Drosophila melanogaster: one gene and its partner. The protein of the gene in region 2 interacts with the protein of the main gene of each other region in a pairwise test. Each region holds a gene or a part of one and is shown on either strand. Other genes may lie near its edges.

Region 1 (7,622 bases), on a different chromosome or scaffold from region 2:
ATGATATTCCAAGTCCGCTATCCATTGTTTGTTCACCTTTTGTTTGCATCTCATTGTTTCCATAAAGCATCTCGTGAGCCAAAGATAACTTAATATGTCACCAAAACCACTTATCCTCTCAGCCAGAAAGAAAGAAAAGCAAACTGTGTGTGTAGAGCAATTTAAAGCCAAAATGACTGGAAAGCGATGCTTCTCCTATGGCTTTTCTCTTGTTTACTTTGCAAATGACGTCAAAGGACATCCATACCCTGAAACACGCTAACACACACCAACGGAAAATGGAAAAGAACTCGGAAAACTCGAAAAAACTCGGCAAGCCGCTTAAATGAAAAGCCTGAAGGCAGCTTTGTTTATTTGGCCCCATAAATATGCTTAAAATTCAAAAGTTGTGGATGCCACGCGGGTGGAAAATTTAGATGCAAACTCTGTGTTTGCTCAACATACAATACAATTTGCATGAATAATGTGCGAAATTAAGTTATGCGGGTTAATTGCCTTCTAGGCAAACGCAATTTGCGATTTAATTCAGTTTTGGGTCGAAAAAGGCATCTTTAAAATCGATAAAATTAAGCTAAACATATTTTTCAAATAAAAAGGCATGCATCATGGCTTAAGTAATGAAAACTAATTATAGAAATATTTCTTATATATAATTTTTACCTGTATAACTTAATCACATACTTATTTGATGTCCATACCTCACAGTTAAACTAGAGCGACTAAATAAAAGTACTGCTGCTGGACTAATATACATACATGTTCTTATCACGAATTTAATGAAATTGTTTACTTTTCACCAATTTTGCATATGAATAATAAACAGCTGTCTCTTTTCTCCGCTTATCGCTTTCTTAAATGAGTTTTTGCCAGCTCATCTCGTATTTCGCGAAGATTAAACTTAAGACAGACAATTTCTCTGTAAATTATTTAAGAGTGCACAATTGATAAACATCATAACTTTAACATGATCAATATAAATTTTAAATGTTGTCCTACTTTTAAATGCACTAACTTATTTTACTTTTTAGAATGAGCGACCACGACTCTTGGCCACTTGAGGACAAAAAGGAAAATTACCGAGAAATAAATAAATTTAAATGCATCTAGGACAAGTTGTGCGGCACAGAAGCTGCCTGGAAATGACTCCTTGAGATGGAGGAAGGGGAAAACCAGTCATGTGGCAGCAAAAAGTGGAAAGCTGGGAGATGTCACGATTTCCGTGTGATTCCCTGACAAATTGCGTTGCAGCCCAGTGGCAGATAAATAAAATGGATAAACAAGGGCTTTCTACCCTCCGAAAGACTCATCCATAATAAATGTGGACGCAACAATCAGAAACACCTAGCTACCGAAAGTTGCCCGGAAAATGGCAATCACCCAAAGGTGGACCACTTTGTTATTCATATTTTATTTATGCACCAAAAAATCTCATGCTGAATTATGTTTCCTGGCATAAGGGGCCGAAAAACCCGCAAGAAAAAGAACTTAACATTAATAGGAACAAGATGTGCAGCTACTGTGATTTCCAGGAAGGCACAAGAAGGTCACAAATATTGTATGCGCCAGTTGCCACACTTTTGTCATTCTGCCAGCATTTCGTGGCACTGTTTTTTTTTTTTTTTTTGCCCACGGGTCAACGGGGCGTATGGGTGTGCTGGTTATTTTGCGGTGCCCACTTGTCTGGGCACCAAGAAGTGGCAGCTAAATAACAAACTACGCAGTTCAAAACGGCTTCGTTTCGTGCTAAAGTGTAAATTATGTTTAGGGCCAAAACAGCTGCTTCCAGTATTTGTTATTGGTAGTAAGACGCTTGAGTGGTCAGTGAGTTCATTGTTGAGCACTCGATTGATGGCAAAACATTTCCAGTAACTGTCAAAAGTGCCATAAACATGAAGGAAGTACTGCTTTTGAAAGCCAGTCTCGGAAAAGTATTATAATTGAAATGAGCAAATAAAGCAAGGTACACTGAAATCTCCTAATAAGTTCCAAAAATCAGCATTCCACTTAACGTTGTAAAATTCAATTACCACTTTTGATGAACTTACTCAATATGAACAGAACTTTCGTGTCGAAGACCCTACTAAATTAATCAAAGCTCAGTTCGGAGCTCCAATTTAGGGACGATAAGAGGAATGTGTGCTTTCCTAGTAATAATTGCTACGATTTGACCTTTGGCGAAGGACCTATAAATAGGCAGCTGTCTGCTGCTTTTTCATAAATTGTGGGCGGTGGTGCAGAAAAAGCTGATAAGGGTGCGTGGGCTGCTGGGTTGGTGGCCCGGTGGGTGGTGCAATGCAGTGACAAAAAGTGGAGCACAGATAACGGCAATTGGCTGGGCATTTTAGATTAGCGCGGGGTTCGCATGGCGATAAGATAAATGGTAAAAGGATACTGCGAGTAAGCAACGAAGAACCCGAGTAAAAATAGAGTTTTCTACCGGTCTTACCATCAAGCTGTCAAAACAAATTAACATGGGATGGATTGGACAGGCAGTCATTACCCATTACCGGGTCCAAACAAACCCGCCAGCGAGCAAATGGAGCTCGCAATATGATTCGGGTTCGGATTCGGATCTATGGCAACATCTGTGGAACCCACGCACGTAATACGGGCGAATCGCGTAGAAAATGGCCAGGAGGCTCTCGAAGCTCACGAATGGGGAAACGGTTAAACTTTTTGGCGAGCCGGAGAGTGGAAAACTATGAGAGCGGAAGGATGGAAAAGCGGAAAAGCCACACATGCCCACAGCTCTCTCTCTCTCTCTCTCTTTCTGTTTCTGTTTCTGCTCTCTTTACTGCGCACATAACCCAGAGAAGGCAACAAAATAAAAACTCGGAAAATAGCAAAGGAAATAAAAAAAAAAAGAAATGAACATGAAGGAAAATCCAAGCTAGACGTTGGAGCCCGACATTGCCTCAGGCCAGAAGAATGCCTGGCGGAGAAAACCAATTTTCCACATCATTATGCTTTTCGCTTTCATTGAACAATCCGTCTCGATGTTTTCAAAATCAAATATAGACTCCGTGCAAACAATTCATTCATATTCTCGAATTTCACACAAAAGGATTTTCGGGCGACGCGAAGGGTCAAAATTACGCTGCCGTTCGGGCCAACTTGATTATTGGCAATTATGTGCGGCCTGCCGAGCTTGTTTGCAGCATTTTTATTGCTATGCTTCGGCAATGCCCTTAATAGCCTGCCCTCCGAGGAATTCCAGCCCAACTTCGGGCTGTCCAAAGCTAATTAGCGAAGAGCAGGACTAAATCAGGTTTAGTTCTTATTAGACGAAGATAAGAAAGGACACGATGAACAAGTGATGTGTGGCACTGGGCAGAGAATTTGGCAGTCTGGCAATTAATCAAGTTAATAAACCCAAAGTATTTCAGACCTTTTGGGTTTAATTGGTAAAGGAAATTCCTGCAAATTTTTGTGAATCTATTAATTAACTTGATTATTTAGATATTAATATAATTCAAGATGAATGTTAACCATGGGAAATGTTTGTATCTTAGAATAATAAGCAATCACATTTTCTCTGATAGCTTAGAGATTAGTTTTTCTTTAGCTGCAGCAACCCTTTAGTTATGTATGTTTCTCCATTCACTCTATGGACTGCCCCAAAAAGTGTGCTACGTTCTTGTAAATACCAACACTCACCCCCTAATCAGAAATGCTGCCAATGTTTCTCCTTTCCAATCAGCAATTGGGATCCAGACTAGCGTTAATAGCTCGGTCGTTTTTGGTACTTAATTCGCTTGTTTATCGTCCGCTTTATTAGTTAGGATGATGGGTTTTGAGCAGCGTTTAACGAAGCGTGACTCCTGCGAGGGGAGCGGGGAGGGTCGGCAGCAGTGGCGACTATTTGGCAGGAAGGATATGGTGATGCGGGTCCTGGCGCTTGTCGATGTATGTGTGCTGCTGCTGCTGCCTGATTTATGTTTTTGGTTTTTTGTGACTGGCTTTGGCTAGTGAGGCCGCGGCTCGCTAGTCTCACATGAATTTCGTATACTTTTTTGGATAATTTGTAATAAAATTAATTGAAATTAATTCAATTTATTTAGATTTATTTGCATATATTTTGCAGTACAAAGGATGTCAGCGGAAAGTGAGGAAGAGAGAGAGAGAGAGAGATATAGAGAGAGAGTGAGTGAGAGAGTTGAAGAGATACGCAGCGTATACGTAATAGCAAAATACAATGGTGTGCGTAAATATTGATAGAGCGAACTCGGCTTTGTGTGTGTGTCTGTGTGTTGTGTCTCCTTGCCCAAAAGAGCATGTGTGTGCGTGTTGGTGAGTGGGCAGAGAGAGACAAAAATAGAGAGAGAGAGAGAGAGTGGGAGGTTGGCAAATTCGCTTTTTCCTCGAAGAAAGCAAATTCAGGATAGAGATTTTCTTAGGGCCATTTCTTTCGTCCTTTTCAGGGCCTCTTTTGGCTTGAATTGAGCTTTCCTTTTTTCTCTCGCACTCAGACACTTCAAGTTGATAGTTAAAAATCTCATTTCAATTTTAATTTTTTATTATTTAATTATAGGGCGTTGAAGGACTGCGGATTCGGATTTTCCGAATTCACATTGATATGCTTTTTAATCCTGGCTTTCGACTGGCCTACAGCACCACAATAGTCGGGTGGGAAAAATCAATATCCCCGCAAGTGGCTCACATGCGTTTTCACTTTCAATGATAGCCCATTTTTCAGCGCTTCTTTCATCTTCGCATTGCACATTGGAATTTTCAATTAAAATTTTCTTGCTTAGCTGCCATTTTTTCTCGACATTTGCTGCGAAAAATTCTGATACACAAAAAATGTTCTCCTTTTTTGTCAGCGCGTGCTAAACACTCGCACACACACAGTCGCATACACGCACCCACACCACACACACATACACACGCGCACTATACATTTCGGGGCTTTCGATGGCCTTTTCATTTATATAACAAATTGGAAAACACTTTCAACACTTTTGCTTTGCTTTCAACCAATTCTGTTTAATTTTCATAATTTTTTCATCACATTTTTGAATGATTTTCCATGGGCATTGCCACTTTTTATGAGCCTCTAGAATTTTTCTTTCCCATTCACCTTCAGCCTAGCGCTTTGTACTTCAGCAGTCAACTTCCACGGTCGATGTTCATTCGCGTTTTGGCCCACACGCTCCAGGAGCAGCGCTGAAAAGCTTGGGCCACTCGCCAAAACGCGAGAGCGAACCGGTTGGGGCATCGATTTTGGCCGCTCGGCCAGCGGGTGAGCGGGGCGGTGTCCACCGTGGGGGGAGCTTTTGGGCAGCGGAAATCTCGGAGGGGAAGACTTTAGGCCAGCTGGACATGGCTGAGCCCCTACGTCTGTATGATATGCAAAGGAGGATAATCATAAAATAGGCACTACCATAAAATGCATCCTTCATAAGTAAGAGTTGAATAACTACTACAGTATCTCATGTCTAGTACCTTTACATACATATTTTCAAAAATCCCTACTATATCTCTCTCTAGATTTTCCCAAAGGAGGTAAACATCTGACTGGGAATCACATGTAAAGTTGAAAGCTCCTTCAGAACCTGTTCGCAGTATGTTTTTTGGTGCATGCGTACTGGGGCGGAAGTGTCTCAATGGCACACAATGTTGCCATTTGCTGTAGAGCAAAGCTTTTCTGTGCCAAGTTTCACTTTCCGTACTATTTTTCCTTCGCCTATGAAAGCTGAGATTTGCCATGTAAATGGCGGCACTGTATCGTATATTTCACAAAAAATCAAAACAAATTACTTATCTAACGATAAGCCAAAATAGTATGACTGTGAAATTAAATCTTTTTCAATAGATCCGATCCATCCAGGCAATTTATTTGGTTTTGGAAATGCATTATTAAAAGGTCGTGCCTACTTTTGGGCTGACAAGTCCATCTTAATGACATGTCAGCACAATAATTATGAAATATAATTTAATTAATACTTTGTCACAAAAATAGTTTATAATCGTGATTTCCCCCTAGAGAGTAGCTGAGTTTTTACATGCAATGAGGATATATTTTTAAATGTTTTGAATAAATATACTATAGGAATACAAATACATAGTAAGTTACTATTAGTAACCTAAAATCAAAGCAGATACGATCTTAAATCATACTTCTTTGAACAGAAATACTTATCGACTTGCTTTCCTATGAGTTATGTATTTATATCGGGTGAATCATTAACAATCCTTTACGACGCGCAAATAAATCACGATATTCGATAGTGCTGGTCACCTTCACGCCTCAATCAGGCGGTTGGCCATACTCGGGGTTCGTGATTTCCCATATCGTTTATCTTGGGAACCCTCGCACGGCAATCGGTAATCGCTAGCGAAGAAGTTAATTAAACGGCCAGTCCTCGGGCTCAAATCGATCGAGATCGATCGCGGATGATTGATGATTGAAGCGAAGAGCGGAATGTAAACACGCACTCGCTTACGCACTTATCACTATCAGTTATCAGTGGGAAGTGGACAGGGAGCAGCAGCTCTTGGTCGGTGGTCACTTGAACTTGCTCCCAAATGGCGATAAGCGAGGCGGCACGCGCTCGATCCGATTTGGCCGTGGGGCAATTGCATTATTGGGGTTGCTGTGTCATCGAGACTAATCGATTTGAATTGGGGCAATTGGCATGATTGCTTTGGTTTGGTTTGGGGCAACTTTGATGAGGTAATGCGAAGTTTCCCACCCCCAAAAAATAGTGTTCTTTCCGCCTGCATCACCCGATTAGACTCGCAATCAGCGAATGTTTGGTTTTTTCCTATGTTATGTTTCTGATTCCGTGTGGTATCAATCGTTTTGGTGGTCGAGGTTATGGCAAGGCTACACGTGCCACCTATAATGGCCATTGGTTTTATTTGCTTTGCATATGTGGTTTATTCGGCACTTGCACCTTATCAAGTGCTTATACTCACAATCCAGATGTGCAATAGGCACAACTGAAGTTCTCACTTCTTCTAATCTACATGAAATAGCTGATAATTTCACCAGGTTTAGACTTTGTCTTCGCTGTATGAATACATGAATCACGTAGATTGCGTTCGAATTCTTGGCAAATATATTTGGATTCCAACGTGTGCGACAAAGGTCGATTGGTTAATGCCTAATGAGCTTATCTGCCACAGAAACCATTGACAAATTAATTATCATTAATGCTGTGTAATTGGTTTTTTTATCAGTTTAAATCACAAAATTTGTCAAGGCTTCTTAGTTACTTATGAATATGTACCAATAGCGTCATCATATCATTCTAATTGTAAACTAAACAAAGCGCACCCGAATAATCTTTCCGTTTTCCAAGTAAGCACTAATTCTTATACAATCTAGATATACCATTCATTAGCACCTGTCCCGCAAACTTTGGGCATGTGGTACGGATTGGCTCGAGTGTCACTCGGGGGCCATAAAAACTGACCACATCAATTCGAAAATAAGTGGAAATGAAACGCTATATTCGTGGATGCTAATTTTAGATCGGGTCGCTTCGCCACACTAGTCGGCGATAAAGAGCGTTGTGCTATTTTCAACAAATGCAAAAAGAGGTGACAACAAAGGCAACTTGACGTCGTCGTCGTCATCGTCATCATCGTCATCTGGCGGAGGAGCAACGTCACGG
Region 2 (7,635 bases):
GAAATCTGTGAAAATAAATTTATCAAAACGACAAAAAAAGATTCAGATGGGCGATACATTGTGTCAATTCCATTCAAGGAGGATGTCACCTTAGGAGATTCAAAGAAACAAGCGATAGCTCGTTACATGAATCTGGAGAAAAAACTAAAAAGAAATGAAAAACTTAAGGTTGACTACACTAAATTCATGAATGAATACATGGATTTAGGACACATGATTGAAGTGAGTGATGAAGGCAAATATTTTTTACCGCACCAGGCAGTGATTAGAGATTCAAGCCTTACGACCAAATTGAGAGTAGTTTTTGATGCTTCAGCAAAAACTACGAATAACAAAAGTTTGAACGACATAATGTGGGTTGGGCCACGAGTTCAAAAAGATATTTTTGACATTATTATTAAATGGAGAAAATGGGAATTTGTTGTTTCGGCAGACATTGAAAAGATGTACCGACAAATTAAAATAGATAATAATGATCAAAAATATCAATATATTTTATGGAGAAATTCTCCAAAAGAAAAAATTAAAACATATAAATTAACCACAGTCACTTACGGAACAAATTTTGTAGGAGCTGCAAGAAAATTAGATCAAGAGTTATTTAATGCAATACAAGAAAATATAACGATTGCAGCGCAGCTTGAAAAGGACAGGATTGATTGGCATTTTATTCCCCCGGCAGGACCTCACTTCGGAGGTATTTGGGAAGCTGGAGTTAAGTCAATGAAATACCATTTAAAGCGTATAATCGGCGACACTATTTTGACTTACGAAGAAATGTCAACTCTTTTATGTCAAATAGAAGCATGCTTAAATTCAAGGCCATTATACACTATAGTTAGTGAGAAGGACCAACAAGAAGTTTTAACACCAGGTCATTTTTTAATTGGAAGACCACCTTTAGAAATAGTCGAACCAATGGAAGATGAAAAAATCGGAAATTTGGATAGGTGGAGACTTATCCAAAAAATGAAGAAAGATTTCTGGGTTAAGTGGAAAAGTGAATATTTGCATACGCTCCAGCAAAGGAATAAATGGAAAAAGGAAATTCCTAATATAGAAGAAGGGCAAATAGTTTTATTAAAGGATGAGAATTGTCATCCTGCAAGATGGCCTTTAGGAAAGGTGGAAAAGGTGCATAAGGGGAATGATGATAAGGTCCGAGTGGCTAAAGTAAAAATGCAGGAAGGATATATCACTAGACCCATTACTAAAATTTGTCCCTTGGAAGGAATAAAGTCTGTTGACAAAAATGAGGCTGACCAAGAGCCAAAAAGACGAACTAGAGCGACATCGGGAATGTCCAAGATCGGAATCATTATGGCAATGTTGTTGTTTGTGTTAAGTTGTCAAGTTTCTAGCGCATTACCTAAAGATATAGCACCAAGATATTCTATAGACAAAATAAATAAAACCTCAGCAATATATCTAGACCCGCTAGGAGATGTTGAGATTGTGAGTACTTCTTGGAATTTGGTTATCTATTATAAAATGGATCCATATTTTAAAATGTTAACAAAGGGTAATGCGCTTATACAAAGTATGAGGAAAGTTTGCGAAAGACTTCATAGCTTTGAAGAGCAATGTAGTCTAGTCTTAGATAATATGCAAAGTCAGTTATCGGAACTTGAAGAAAACAATAAATTGTTTATGATACAGTCTAGATCTAGAAGCAAGCGTGCTCCTTTCGAATTTATGGGTTCCTTGTATCATATTTTATTTGGTATAATGGATGAAGATGATAGAGAGCAATTAGAAGAAAATATGAAGAATTTGTTAGATAACCAGAACAACCTTGATAAACTAATTCAAAAACAAACATCTGTGGTTGATTCAACTTCTAATCTATTAAAGAGAACAACAGAAGATGTTAACTCCAATTTTAGAAGTATGCAAATAAGAATTGAGAACATGACAGAAGTTCTTAAAGAAAATTATTATGTTTATAAGGAATCAATAAAATTCTTTATGATTACGAAACAGCTACACTCATTGATTGAAGAAGGCGAAAAAATTCAAGCAGGCATTATAAGCCTGTTGATTGATATTAATCACGGTAGGCTAAATACAAATATTCTCAGGCCAAATCAGCTTAAAAAAGAAATTGCCAAAATTCAGCAGAGTCTTTCGGAGAACCTAGTAATTCCAGGAAAACGGTCAGGTACGGAACTTAAGGAGGTGTATACACTGTTAACAGCCAGGGGTTTATTCATCGACGATAAATTGATCATTAGTGCAAAAGTGCCTCTGTTTAGCAGGCATCCATCCAAATTGTTCAGGCTTATTCCGGTGCCAATTCGAAATGAAGATCGGATAATAATGGTGCATACAACGTCCGAATATTTAATTTATAATTTTGAGATAGATTCCTATCACATAATGACGGAAGCCACATTAAATCAATGTCAGAAATGGCAACTAAATAAGAGAATATGCAAAGGAAGTTGGCCCTGGAATTCAGCGAATGATAATGCATGTGAGATTCAGCCTCTAAAGCCAGATAAAGCGGCGAACTGCATCTATAAAACAGTAGTCGACTCTAAAAGTTACTGGGTAGAGTTAGAAAAGAAAAGTAGTTGGTTGTTTAAGGTTCCTGCGAATTCAAAAGTCCGTCTGCAATGTACTGGCTCTCAAATTGAATTGTTTGATTTGCCTCAGCAAGGAGTTTTAAGCATTGCGCCATATTGTACGGCAAGAACCGACGATAAAATTCTAGTTGCCCACCATAACATTCAGTCCGAAAGTGAAGAATTATTATCAACACCTTATATAGGAGAAGTTAGTGAAGCGCCGAAGATTATTTGGGATCCGCTGAAACTATCAATATTAAATCATACTGAGGAATTTGAACGATTGAATAATGAAATTAAATTTATGAAAGAGAACCATCAAAAATTGAAAGATTTACATTTCCATCATATTTCCGGACATGCTGGATTAATTATTGCTTTAATACTAATGATAGTATTAATAATATATTTCATACGGAAATGTGCTGTGCAACAAAGAATGCAAGCAATAACCTTTGCAGGTCCGTTGCCAGTACTATAAATATCAATAGTAAATAAACAATAAAATAATATAACAAATAAAAATATACAGTCCACTATATCGTTGTTTAATAGAAAATGTACTTCTACATAGAAAAAGCAAAATGTTTAAAATAAGTTAATTGAGTACAAATTGTTGAATTAAAAATAATATAAACCATAATTGTAATCCAATAAAATTAAAAGCCAGAAAAACTAGGCCCATTGAAATCTTAGTTGCAAAATAAATGAACATATATCAAATAAATACAGTCCACTACTGTTATAAATGCAACTAATATACTAATGTACATCTCAGCTTGCTGGCCCTTTGGCAGAATGTTCACACATGAACACGAATATATTTAAAGACTTACAATTTTGGGCTCCGTTCATATCTTATGTAAATGAATCGAGAGCGATAAATTATATTTAGGATTTTGTTATCTAAGGCGACATGGGTGCATTGCTCAAAAACATGTAATTTAAGTGCACACTACATGAGTCAGTCACTTGAGATCGTTCCCCGCCTCCTAAAATAGTCCCTTAGTGGGAGACCACAGATAAGGTCCTCGCCGCTCAAGATAGGCAGATGTGCCCGAGCGTGGGACCTCGATAAGGCGGGGACTATTTACTTAGGCCTCTGCGTAGGCCATTTACTTTAAGATGCGATTCTCATGTCACCTATTTAAACCGAAGATATTTCCAAATAAAATTAGTTTCTTACAAAAACTCAACGAGTAAAGTCTTCTCATTTGGGATTTTACAATAGGCAACATTTATATTCAGACACATTGTTTATACCAATTATTTGCACTTAGGACAGTGCGAATTTATTACGTTTTAAGCACAAATTTTAACATTTTAGCTGTTTATTTTTGCTAATCACTTGTCTTGTTTAAAGAACGTTAATTTGGTTCGCTGATTACGTACCATTTAATACATTTTTCAAAACGGTTTTCATGCGGTTTAGGTTACATCTTTCAGAATATTAATGCAAAAGTAGGTATTATAGAATACCGACTTTTGAACAGGATTACATGTACAATAAAACTTTAACAATAAAAAATGGATTTAGACCCCTTGTAAGCATCTAAAACCTAAGGATCTCTATGAAAAATTGATTTCATATCATAATACATACAATAAGGCAAAATTCTATCCATGTTGAATAATAGGTACAAATAAAAATTGGTTTGCTCATTTTTATTTAATCTAGCCTGAACGTCACATTAAAATATCATTTGTTGACGCACTTCCTTGCCAAAGCTTAAATAGCTTTTATTTTCGCACACATGTCACTTGGCATATCGCTCGAGTATTTTTTGATCTTACAATATATTATTTTACAATATATATTCTTCTTAGTTTTTCTTTCTGTTTCTTCTCCTTTCTAATGAGAGTTGGTTGGAAAAATCGATGCTCTAGAGACGACGGATTCGTGCAAAAGAGACAGCTCCCCCGCACTACAAGTCACACACACTTGGACACTTACACACGCGCGGCACATAGAAAAGTTAAGCTCTACAATTATATATTTATGGGTACAGGAAGGAGCCCAAAGAACTGTAACTTTTATATGTATGCCTATCCCCACTTCGAAAAAATGTACGCAGCTGAATTTCCGAAGTTTTCCTTCAGGAAATTATGCAACTTACGTCTCACTCTTGTGCATACAATTATCATTGTACGAAAAAAAAAAACACATTTCTCTCACTTGTTTTCGAAGATAATATTTTGGCATATACTTTAAAATAAGCAAAGAGCTAACACAAGTACCTAGCGTTGTTTGTTTTCAGAGGACTTTAGTTTTTCGTTTTGATTCGGTTCGGGGTCTTTACCTCTGATTTGAACTATCGGGAAATCTAGAACAGAATGAATTAAATGTCGTGAAATTCCGTAGGAAGTGCTTTTCGTAAGCTGCGACGTCAGCAGAGGAGAAACAGCGGTACGGCGCACCAACGGTATATCCTTTAAAAGCTACATAAAGCTCTGAAAAGCACTGTACTTAAGGAAGTTTCCTTCCACAGCTGACATTACCCTTTTTTATGGTATTTTTTATCCCTGTGTGATTTTTCTGCTCTAAAAGCTTCAAAGCTCTGCAAAAGAAAGACTTAAACAAGAGAGGATTCTATAGTCCGGTTCCCCAATTATCAGATACCCTTTACTCAACTGGAAGTGGAAACGAGAAATTCAAATATTTTTTGGAATATTGGTAAAAATTGGGAAAATATAATAAAACAGAAAATAACCAATAATTGCTGAAAATAGTGAGACGGACAGGAACAGATCGAAGTGGCTATTGTTATATAGTTTATATGTTAGGAAACGCTTCCTTCTGCCTGCTACATACCTTTCAACAAGTCTAGTATACCCTTTTACTTTACAAGTAACGGATATAAAGAGAAGCGCTGTCATCTGCGTCACTGTCATATGACACTAGGCATTTTATTAAGTCTTGATTTCTGACGCATGCGTATCCTAAACATATTTCAGCCCTGAAAATATTATGGACGACACGTGATATTTCGTTCATATTCAAATAATCGCATAATGTTTAAATTAACCTAACCCTCTCAGCACCAACATTAAAAAAAACGTATTATACCCGTTACTCGTCAAGTAAAAGGGTATACTAGATTCGTTTAAAAGTATGAAATACCCACATTTTTTAATCATTTTTCGAAATTTTTTTTTATAATTTTAAATTTCTATCGATTTGCTAAAAAAAAAGTGTTAAGCAGCTGATTGAGAGAATGCAATTCCCGCCAAATTATTTGCTTACTTTTGCACGTGGTACGATCGTTAATACGCATCCATAAATTATTATTATTATTATTATTATAAATTATAATTATAATATATATAAATTATAAATTTAAAATGTTATATTATAAATTATAATAAAATATGGAAAATAAATGCCAAGGTATGTTGTTTTTAACGTATGTAGTTAATATATGTGTAGTTGCACTGTTTTTGTGTTGTGTAACAGTCAATTTATGTGTATTTTAACAGAGAATACTAACGTGTCCCCTGTGTTTCGTGGAGTATAACTAATTTTCTGAAAAAAATTAAAAACGTCAGTTTGTACCTTTAACTATTATCTTTGACGGTAAAGTAATATATTTTTCTCATTTTTGCTCGTTTTCTTAAAATTACATTTTATATAGGCAAGTTAAAGTTCAGACATAGCGACCTCCTGGACATTTGGAGGCGTAACAATAGGCAAATAAATGTATGGTTCAGATTACGTTTATTCCGCAAGAGATTGAAAAAAAATAGTACATTTTGAATTATTTATTAAAAGAAAACTGCCCGAGTGTAACAGACAACTAGACCGATTTATTTCCAAACATACCAAATGGATGGCGTCTAAGATAACAATTCTTGTTAAATTGGATTTAAATGGGACGCCGAAACTTATCTTAGCAAAATGCAGGAGAAAGATTAAAAAGGAAACTAGCATCCAATCGGGCAAGTAAAAGTGATCACGACACAAGTCTTTTGATTCATGCAGCAACTGTTTCTGCTAGAAATGCAAAAGGGACGTTGCCTTTGTTCTTAAAGAAACTTTAAAAACACCAGATAACACCAGAAACACCTATAATGAAGTGATCGAAGCAAAATTGCAGTGCCGACCAGAGGGTACAGATGTAATGCTCAAGTGCTATTACAAATCTCTTGGATCATACAGCGCAAAAATTAATTAAGTTGCAATCTGATGTTTTCAAGCAATTTCCAGATATCTTTATAATCAAATTAATTTGCAGCTACAGATTTGATGGGACAACTGGTCATAGTGCTTACAAGCAGAAATTTGAAACTGAAGCACTTGGCACACCAATTTCTGATCAATCTTTATTTTTAACTTCTGTCATACTTTATTTATTATGTAGAACTAGAAGAAGAAGAGGGCGATTATTTTTAAAACAATACTACACACATACAATACACACTTTTATTAAAAAAAAAAAAAACAATAAAATTTCGTTGACCCTGAGTCATACCAGTTGTTAATGTGGGGGAGGCAAGAGAGGGCGTGGTCGCACAAATATTGTGGGCAAACTATTTGGGATTTAACAACAAAATGTACAAAGTTTCAAGTCTGTAGCTCAATTTTTAGACTTTATGCCAAAAAAATCGAATTCTGGACCACAGTGCATTGCAACACAGTATTCACTAGTGTTGTGTCGTTCGTGAACGAACGAACTAAATTTAACTATTCCCCAAACTGAACGAACGAACTAGGTCTGTCTTTATAGTTCACTTAGTTCAATATAGTTGTAAACTCTTTGTTATTTATTACTTATTATTATTATGTATAACTGTTTTTGACATAAATTTTAATGTCAGCATTGTATGAGATAAACTCATAACATTTATTGTGAAGCACCTTTAAGCAAGCTTAAAAAATGAACGATTGAACTAAATGAACGACCTAGTTCATTGATTTTAAACGAACGAACGAACCTATTCCCCAAATTGAACTGGGTTTACTCAACACTTCAAAATACTCAATTGAATCACAACCTGTGAGCGGTTGTAGCATATTTTAGAGCTAAGTGCTATTCAGATTGCCCCAGCGACGAGTCGGTTTTTAGAT

The links.
Region 1: the proteins of stnB (region 2) and Syt1 interact in binary tests that used the Drosophila melanogaster proteins (3 or more experiments, as listed by UniProt).

The regions. Positions count from the first base shown.
Region 1 is NT_033779.5:2,794,829-2,802,450, forward strand, and holds the start of Syt1 (synaptotagmin 1), read right to left. Parts: upstream 5,152-7,622; 5' UTR 5,081-5,151; intron 4,009-5,080; 5' UTR 3,658-4,008; intron 3,494-3,657; exon of another isoform or gene 3,004-3,493; intron 717-3,003; exon of another isoform or gene 661-716; intron 1-660. UniProt on the Drosophila melanogaster protein: May have a regulatory role in the membrane interactions during trafficking of synaptic vesicles at the active zone of the synapse. It binds acidic phospholipids with a specificity that requires the presence of both an acidic head group and a diacyl backbone.
Region 2 is NC_004354.4:22,999,742-23,007,376, forward strand, and holds the start of stnB (stoned B), read right to left. Parts: upstream 4,908-7,635; 5' UTR 4,809-4,907; intron 1-4,808. UniProt on the Drosophila melanogaster protein: Adapter protein involved in endocytic recycling of synaptic vesicles membranes.